2 linked regions of the Caenorhabditis elegans genome follow. The protein of the gene in region 1 purifies or fractionates together with the protein of each later gene. This does not show direct contact. Each region holds a gene or a part of one and is shown on either strand. Other genes may lie near its edges.

The links. Proteins that work in one complex are often made in the same cells at the same time.
Region 2: the proteins of ipla-7 (region 1) and nish-1 fractionate together in Caenorhabditis elegans (co-fractionation; one large-scale study listed by BioGRID). This does not show direct contact.

The regions. Positions count from the first base shown.
Region 1 is NC_003282.8:10,056,060-10,061,115, forward strand, and holds ipla-7 (PNPLA domain-containing protein), read right to left. Parts: upstream 3,120-5,056; 5' UTR 3,067-3,119; coding exon 2,923-3,066; intron 2,441-2,922; coding exon 2,125-2,440; intron 2,077-2,124; coding exon 1,220-2,076; intron 1,175-1,219; coding exon 1,076-1,174; 3' UTR 532-1,075; downstream 1-531.
Region 2 is NC_003282.8:10,862,520-10,867,348, reverse strand, and holds the start of nish-1 (PX domain-containing protein), read right to left. Parts: upstream 3,019-4,829; coding exon 2,920-3,018; intron 2,389-2,919; coding exon 2,104-2,388; intron 2,092-2,103; exon of another isoform or gene 1,884-2,091; coding exon of another isoform or gene 1,482-1,883; intron 1,431-1,481; coding exon of another isoform or gene 1,114-1,430; intron 995-1,113; coding exon of another isoform or gene 572-994; intron 1-571. Other genes in the region: F13E9.11 (uncharacterized protein), read left to right, coding at 572-994, 1,114-1,430, 1,482-1,883; rbm-22 (Pre-mRNA-splicing factor RBM22), read right to left, coding at 3,299-3,387, 3,438-3,578, 4,449-4,829.

The DNA of each region.
Region 1 (5,056 bases):
CGGGTCCCACTTGAGGGCTTACAGCTTACCAGCGAACAACTCGGGCATTGCAATCCAGGCTGTTCACAACACCCTAGAACGTCGCATGCAAACTACAGTAAACGATTTCTGAAAACGTGTCCAAACTTACTTCGAATCGGTGTAAATTATGAAGAAAGTTAATGTACTCTTTCTTGATTGAATTTGAAACTAATCGATTTTTGCTTATTTTGATGTAAATTGATCAGTTCAAGAGATAAGAAATTAAAAATGGAACAAAAAGTCATGAAAAATAAATTTGGCAGTGAATTATTTTAATTTTTTTAAGAGTACATTTTAAGAGTACATTTACCTATAGTTTTATCATGTCTTGCATGAAGCTCTATGTAAATGAAACCCTAAATGTGTTGGGAAAGTTTAAAAAAAAATTCAAAGGCAATCTATCTCGACCCGATCGAGAAGTCTCATTAGGAAATTTAGCAGATGACAAAAAATTAATGTTTTTAATTAGCTGTTTAGAATCTTTCATACTGTTCGCTTTAAACTCTAAGTCAAGAGATAATAATTGTTTTTTTTTAAATATTTCTTCAAAATCAGCATAATTATATTTCATCAAGGAACAAATACACAAAAACGAAAAATTAAATTTTCACAGGGAGGAACACAAGGAAAACCAAATAAATCACATCGAGTTTCTGACGAAAAAAAGTGATAAAAATGGGATGGGAAAGGATGAGTGGACAGTGTTAAGGGAACTGATATAAGAACCCGAGAAAACTTTAGATGAATTTTCAGTGAAAGATGAGACTAGAAACGAATAAAATGAGAGGAGCAAAGTGTGCCTTTTTTGGGAAGAGAATGCCCGTTTTTAAATGGGAACTGGAAAGTCATCTAGACGTCGCAGAAAATCAAAAAATGATTATAAATTATTGAAAATGCGCCAGAAAAGTATTCAGCTTGAAACGGAAATAAAACAACTATTCACAATAAAAGTGTTAATCTTCTAATTTACATGCATTGACAGAGATGGTGGGAATGACTAGAATAAAACAAAATATGAATAAATTCAAATGAAACAATTTCTGTATTTTTCAATTTAGAGAACCGTATTGCTTCTACGCTTCCGCTCTGTTGGATCCGATTTCAATTTGTAGATCATTTCACCAAGTTGGTCGATCTCATGGACGTTTTCGGTCTGAAAATTTGAAAATGGAAGTTGGAATTAAACTTGAAGACTTACCAAATAAATAAGTGTTGTCCATATCATATCCATCAATTTTGAATCATCAATTTGATCAATCCGAACTGAAATTCCCTTCGGACTCAATCGATTGAATGGAATATTGTGAGCATGACATCTATCCTGCGCCATCTCTACAGCTGTCAAATCTTGACCAACTACTTGTTCCAAAATAAGAGTTGAAAGATGTCCAATATTCATTGCCTTTGCTCTTATACTCTTCCCACTTTTATATTTTCTTTCTGCGAGTGCTGGTTCACCAGTTCCAATTGAAAGAACACCGGCAAGATGGATCGGTTGTTGATGTTTCGAGAAACTATCATATTCTTTGAATAATACATTCAGTGGATAATTGGCAACAAAACTTCCATCAACCAACACTTTGTTTCCATATATGAAAGGTTCAAAATATGTTGGAGCAGCACTGCTTGCTCTTGCAGCTTCTCTGAATAAAACATCTTGATCCTCATTCAACGGTGCTCCAAATGGTTTTGTGAATGAATAATTTCTGAAGACATGAAGTCTTGCTGGAGCTGTGCTTATGTCCAATGCAGGGATAGTGAGACGAGTTGGGCATTCTTGGAGAGTTTGAGTTGGGAAGCAATCTCCCAATACTTTATCGATATTCTTAGTTTGAACAGCTACTTGATCTCCAAGCAGTCGTTTTACAGTACTTCCACGAAGAAAAATTTGACTTTTCATATCCCAGTATTGGAAAAAACATTCACTTATTGATATCTTATTGACCATTGAGAGAGCTAGCATACTTCCTGTTGATGTTCCAATAAACCAATCAAAAAGATTCGGAAGTGTTTCATCACCAAGAAGCCTTCGAGAGGCATATAGAAGGCATACCACTGAAGTTATATTAAATAGGAAATTTATAAGAATTTAAGAATTCTAACCTGAAACCAATCCCCTCATTCCTCCACCATCAAGACACAATGCCATAACTCCATCAACCTTTTTTGATCGATTTATTTGAATGGGTGTTCTCTCGTACATCTCCTCAAAAATGACTCCAGAAAACTCGAGGAATGATTTAAATTTCACAGCGCATTCTTCACAAACACTCCCATTGTCAATCCGATCTGCCAGTGTTTTCTCTCCAAAATCATCCTTGAAAAGTGGTGTTGGATCAGCTCCCAAAGTCAGAAGAAGGCGCATTTCAGTGATTGTTGATTGAGGAACTGACCATATTTCCAGAAGTTTTGATGTCATCTGTGAATTGATAATTCAGGCCTATGATATCACAATGCTTTATGGGAATTATTAAAGTTCACATGTGACTAATACAGTACTGATTAAACATTTTTAGAGTTTGGTCACACAAGAAACATGCTGAATATACGTCATATTTGTTGAAAAAAAAGCACAATTGTACAACCAATATCAATGCCCAGGATTTGAAGTTGCTTTTGACAATTTTCAACAAAATCTAAAGTTTTTTCCTAAACTCTTATTTAAATTTCAATTGAAAATTTTCATAGAGAGCCTGTTTTAATCAAAACTTCTGTAATTGCACATTAATAAAAAGTTATTCAATTCCTAGTTTCTTCCTAGTCAAAATGTTCTTTGATCGATTAATTTGGATCTTTGATGATTGCTATTAAATTGTGTGCACTGATAACAATTGTCTGTGTCAGCTGTAAACTGTTCTAGGTCAAAGGTCGTTTTTTTGTGAAGAGAGAATGTTCCCGTACCATTGCATTTCCCGGTGCCTGCTCAGCTTGTGCTCCTTTTTCTTTTTGTGCCTGAACTGCCGATTTGAGGAATGCAATCATATTATCCACTCTCTCCGCTTTCTTCTTTGTGCTCATCTGATGAGCACAACGAGTTGACGGCATTGTGCTGGAGCTCACCGGATTGCGGGAACCCAAGTTTCAGATGGGAGAGACTTCTAAAAAAATAAAATAAAATGTCGGTCGAAACGACGAATGAAAGAGGAAAATTCGACGAAAAATTGAAAAGAAGCTGTTTGAGTGCGTGTCTGTGAGTGCTTCATGAAAAATAAGCCGATGGAGGTGAAAAATGATAACGTTTTGATAAGGGCATTCAGGAAATTATTCATGTGAATGGCAAAGTCCAATTTGAAGAACGTTTTCTTATCAATATTTATCTCAATATTTTGGTCAAAGTTTCGAATCAATACACGTGGCAATGATAACAACTTATCTTGTTCCGTCTAGACGCATCTTAAAAATGAGTTTTTACAAGTTTGCAGTTCTTACAAAGAAAATTAATCAGTTTGAAGTTTCAATTTTTTCTGATTTTCTAACACATTGCTAATTTTAAAATTTATTCAAAAGCGAAACACATTTCCTAACACTTTACATTTTGGTCTAAAAATTTTATGTTATTTTTTAGTAATTTTGAAATCGTAATAATATTTTGTTGCTTTGACGTTTAATATTTTGTGGTGACTTGTTTTGAATTCTAATGATTTAATTTATCTTATAATTAACACATGTATTATGTTCAATTGGTAAATGTGTTACAACTCATCAAAATTTTATTTTTCTTACAATCCTAAATTGCTTAAAAGTTATAACGTCTATAATAATGGTTTTTGGAAATGTTTAAAAATTTCAAAAATATTATTTTTATCAGTCCTAGTCATATTTCAACCAAAACCAATAAATATAAAATTTGAAAAGTTCATATAAACGAGAAAACGATGAGAAAAATGGGGTCAGACTCGGAGCCGCGGCGCTCAAAAAATGATCAAGTTAGAGCGTGTTGATTAGACGAAAAAGTAGTTTAGACAACTAGAGAATGCTTAGTTACAATGAATAAATAAAAGACACAGACTAGACAGACCAATTGTCGATGCGAAAAGAGGAACTGAGTGCAAAACGGACGGGAAATGCTTTCGGAAATTGAGAGATGAGGATGAAGTCGGAAAAGAATATGAGACGTTCTTAACTGAAAAGTTGAAAAATTAAAAATTAAAAGTTATGTGAGAGAAAGAGGGTTCATCAAGAATAAGTCAATCAAAAAATCAAAACTCATACGGAGAAACCATTAAAAAATACGGAGAAATGATAAGAAACGGAAAAAAATTGACTGAAAAACTCTGGGCGCATGAGTGGAGTTGTTACAAAAATCAACGGAGAGGAACAAAAGATTTGAATTTGGCAGTAATATCTGCAATGGCATGGCTTTAAAATTTAAGTTCAAAACTTTTGAAGAACATCTTCCAACAGACATTCGATACTTAGACAACAAAAAGTTTCGATCAGAATTTTAAATCTGCTGACTGTACGTTCAACACGACAAATTTGGAACTAAAATTATATTTTTTTGAAGTAAAAAATTTCGATTTTATATTATAATAAGTTTTGTATTGACACCTAAATCAAGGTCAAGTGAAAACTAAAAAAAACCTCTGTTTAATCATTTCAACAGTAGTACTTTTGGAAATACTATCTCCATCATCAATCTTATTTTGTCTCGTAACAGATGATACAGAAGAGATCAATGACGATACATTCTCTCGAACAATGGCTACTTTGTCTGAAACTGGACGAAATATTATGAGAAACTGAGATGTCGACAAGAGAAAAAGAGAACAAACCATCCATACTTTTCAAACATTTTTTTTTTCATTTTGTTCCGTATCTAGTGATGTAAGGTCTCAAAATTCATGGAAAGTTGATAAGATGATAGATAAGTTTTTGCTTGCAAACTAAAAAAAACTCTCAGTTACTCACCTTTTGCCTCAATTTCAATGCAAATAGATCACTAAAAACTAGCGAGAAATCGACAAATATTTGTACGAAAATTGTGGTTTTTACTAGGGGTTTTGTTGAGTTGAGAGTCATATCATGGCTTATC
Region 2 (4,829 bases), 810 kb from region 1:
TTTGTCAGAACGTAGTTAAGAAGGTCTTTAGATTGAACATCTAAATAATTCCTCAAATGTAGAACTTGAAGTTCGGATATGAACTGGATTTGTAGTACTTCATTTGAATCCAAAGTAGGACCAAATTCGAACATTCTCTACTACAAGATTTATTTTCTTTCTCTGTTTTCTTTTTATTCATCTTGCCATTCTATTGTATTCTTCCTGTCCACTGGGTTTTTTTAACGATCACCGATCCAGCCCTATCCTTGCCTTTAGTAATCCTCTTAAACCAGACTATCTCGATTTCTCGGACGACCTTTCTTTTCCTTTTTTCCGTTCCGAAAACAGTTTGAAAAATAGAGGAAAAATGCCCATGGGAAGTCGCATCCGTGCAATGCAAACAGTCTTCGCTCTTTTCAAAACTCCTTCCTTTCTTTCTTCTTTTCTCACCAAATGGCACACTTGCTCTTTCCCGGTGTCGATTCATCAATTCGCTATCATCATATTGAGTCACCAAAACCTTCGGAAGATCCCCTTCAAAATCCATGGTTTCCGCAACCGTCACCCTCTCAATCATGTCCTGTTACAGAAAATACTCGCTTGGAGTCCGGCAGAGATCCACGACATATTACTGAAGAATCAATTGAAGAAAACGGAGACGAACGAATCGCTCATTTCGAGTACTACGAAGGAGCAGAAGAATTCCCAATTAAAGTACCACCGGAGCAGACTGCTGCTCTAATCTCACAATCGAAGACTACAAATTCAGCAATGGCAGTTCTTCCTGGCCGCTGTGTGCGAGCCTTTCTTGATTCATTTGCATTAATAATTAGTCTTGCTTTAGTAGTTCTACAGTTTGGATTGATAGATTGGTACTATTTGAATGTCACTGGAGAAAATGTGTGGGCCGCTTGGATTGGACCAGACTTTGTGGTTCTACTGATACTAGGAGTACTTGGAGTATTGGCTATCAAATACAATACAGTTCAAATGGAGGAGTGCTGTTCAATTGGTAAGTTCAAATGTTTGTAAGAGTTTCTTCAGTATTCTAATCTATTTGAACTATTGTATTCAACTAGATTGACACTTTCAAAAAGTTCAAGATCTCTGATAATTAATGAAATATTTCAGACAGTCGGGTTAAATACGCTTGCTTCGCCTGGGGAGCGTACTCCCTTATTCTGATCTCAAAAATTGCCACGTGCTTCCGCATGTTCTACGAGGACATTCCTCCAACGCCGCTTGACAACAATGACAAACTTTTCGACGACTTCCTGTTCAAAGCTGGGCTTTCTCTGTCCGTTTTGATTTTCTTGTTCATCTTCGAGTCACATCACTATACCCCATTGGTTTCTGTTCGTCAAGTGTACATCTCATATCTTGTTGCTGCCATTTGCCTCGATCTTATCGATAATATCTACTTCCTAGACTTGCTTTGGCAAGCATCGGTAAGTCGAACTACAAACTACCTAGTATCTAATTCATTTACTTTTTTTCAGAAGGACAAATGGAATCTAGAACTATGGCTCGAACTGACAATCCTGATTGTTGCCTGTATCAACTTCTTCATGCCAACCTTCGCTCTCGCCAAACTTCGTTACGCTAAAGTTCCACGATTCCTGCTCGTAAGTGAGAAGCTCTGGGCATTCCTCTACGTTCTCATTGTCAATGGGCCTTTCCTCGGACTCCGTATCTACCTGTACATTGTGCTTGAAGTTCAACAACACGGAAAGAAGTTTGATCCATCACTGTTTGCGGTCAAGAATATTGCTATGATCTACATCGCTCTTCGTGAACTTTGGACACGTCTTCAATACTGGAGAATGAAACGACGTGCAGCTTTGAGTAGAAATGAGCTTTCAGCAGCTATTCACAATCATGAAGAAGAAGAGCATGAATAATAATAATAATAGTTGCCTGTCTAATTGAAAATGAGCCACTTTGCTCATTTTCAATATCCTATCCCAATGCTTTCATAAAGTTTACCTCAGTCAGTTAGATGTATATAAGTTTCACTATTTCTTCTTTATTCGCCTATCCTCTTTCTCTGCCACATTTTTTTCTATTGGAAACACCTTGGTCTCAGTTCAAATAAATTTTGATATTTTCTGCAAAACTTACATATTGATGAAAATCGAAAAACTTCGCTGTAATCAACGGAAGCGAATGCACATTCTTCTGCTTTTGATACCAAACTTCTAATTCCAAAAGAGCTCGAACATACTTCTCCAATTCAAGTCGTCGTTCTTCGATAAATTCGAGATCCTTGTTTCCCAGTCGTTTCTTTGGAGGAAGAAATGATTTCTTTCGATCTAGAAATCGATGTACATCGTAAGCGTCAAAATCACTATAACGTCGTTCAACGGTCCAAGTGTAGGTGTCAACTGTGATTTGGATACGATATACCTGAAAATTACTCAATTGCAAAAAGTTTCAATGTACTTTTATGGAACTTGTGGGATTATTTGATTTTAATGAAACTTTTAAATTATAGTTGTTCAAAAATTAGATACCAAACTTAGCTTTATGACAGTTTTCTCATCATTTTTTTCAAATTAAGAAACCATCAAATTTTTTATTTTCGGATTCTAAATCATTCTTATTACCCAGCGAATTTTTGCGATTTTTTTTGGAAAAACGTTTGTTTCTGCAAAATGTTTATCGATGTTTCGTAGTTTTTTTTTTCAATAAAAAACATATACTCAAATATAACAATAGTAAACATGTAAATTTTGACAAATTGAGAGAAGAAAATGGAAAATTCCGCTGAGACGAGTTCGAAATTACGGTATTCATTAAAGACGCACACCTTTTCGAATTTAACAAGATTTGTCGTGTTGAGACCGGGTACAGTAATTTTGACGAAAAAATCGCGAAATTTCGCCTCTGGGTTTTATTTTCATCGTTTTTTTTCTGAATTATAGTGACAACACTTACCGTATACTTTCCTTCATCAATCATTCTAAAATTCAAAATTTTCGCATTGAAATTTGCATCCATTTGAGGTGATACTGCCTGTATATTTAGTAAGGCCATCTGAAAAGATTTTCTGAAATTTCAGGAAAGTTCTTTGACAACATGAAAATAGGAAAAAATGGATTTGACCAGTCCAATAAAATGATAATATCAGAATTAGAAAGTTCGAAAAATGTTTATTGTAAGAACGAACATGAGACCGAAGAAGAATAATTAGGGAGTTTTTTCAGAAAAGAACGGAAGATTCTTTTTAAAGTTTGAACAAAACACAATAAAAATGGAAAGAAAAATTACAGAACGAGGACAGAATGAAAAGGAAAGTGATAAACTAATTGAAAATTTACTCAATAACGTCACCCTTGGCGCCAAGACGGGTTGGATCTTGACTCGGATAATAAATCGATGATGATGATGACGCACCGCTTGATTCTGGAAAATATTTTAATACTAATATTCGTCTTCAAAAAAATAAAACTGACCTCCAGCCTTCACTGGCCGTACATTTGGTACAACAAGACTTCTTGGCGCAGCGAAAGTTGGTGGCGCTGGTGGACGTGGCATTGATCCTGTGAATCTTTGTTGTGATGATGTTGAAGGGGCGAGACCATCTGGCACTGGCACTGAAAATTAAAATATTTAAGAAAATGTACATGGAAGGGAAACATGGGAATGTGGAAATAATGATTGTTGGAAGACTGGCGCCAATCCGCTTTTGAAACATGACACCTAACCTAACTGCCAACAATAGAAAACGAAATAAAGAAACATTTTTCTCTTTAGGATTGGTTGAAAAAATCTTCTTTTAGAAACAATTTTTGGTGTGTGGAAAACGATGCGATTAAAAATTGTTCCCTTGAAGAGAATTCACATCAAAATTTGTCACAACGAGAGGTTTCAAAAAGATTCAGTGCCGACCAGCAATTCTACAAAATATGCCAGTGTAGCATGTTTTCCAAATATTTTTCAAGTAAATTATGTGATCGAATATACATAAATAGAACAATATTTTCTTAATCTCTGAATCAAGGGTGTCGGTTTTTCGATTTTTTTTTCTAAAATCGACCATTTCGTTTTTTTTGTTGATATTTCGAAGAATAGCTTAAAATTTCGGTAACTGTTCTTCTTATTAGAAGAAATTTACATGTTTTCATTAACATAAACAAAATTTGATTTAAAAAAATATATTCTATGGTAAAATTTCTAAGAATTTCTATCGATTTTCGATTTTTAGTAAAATCAAAAAAAATTTCGCTTTTAGTGTTTCGAGTTTCTGAGCAATTTTTTGATGATATTATTGCTGAGAATAGCTTTTATTTTAGTTGAACAATTAAAGAAGTGCTCAAAAATTATTGGAACGTCATTGATTTTCTATATTTATTCAATAAGTTTTAATGAAAAAGATTGGGAGAACATGCCAAACTGGCGCATTTTGATTGCAAATAATCTGTTCAAAATTATGTTTCTATTGTTGAAATTGAAAAGAAACTTACAAATCGGTACTGATGGTACTGGAGTAACATAATTTGAGTTATCTGCTGCTCTCTTGGCCTGTGGTTCTCCCCATCTAATCGTCAATCTTTTTCCTTTGATAAAAGTCTTGTTGAATGATCTTTCAGCTGCACGTTCGGCAGCTTCACGAGTTGTAAACTCAATAAATGCACATCCTTTCTCTGTTAGCACACGAAGACAACGAATATCTCCATATTGATAAAAGAAATCATTCAAATCTTTTTCGGTAACTTGCTGAGCTCCAGACGGACCCAGATTTCCAATGTACAATGTAGTGATAGTAGTGTCTGCAGGTGGAGAAAGAGTCGGAGCAGCAGCTGCACGATTGAGAATCTTCTCAGCGACTGGATCATTCGTTCCGT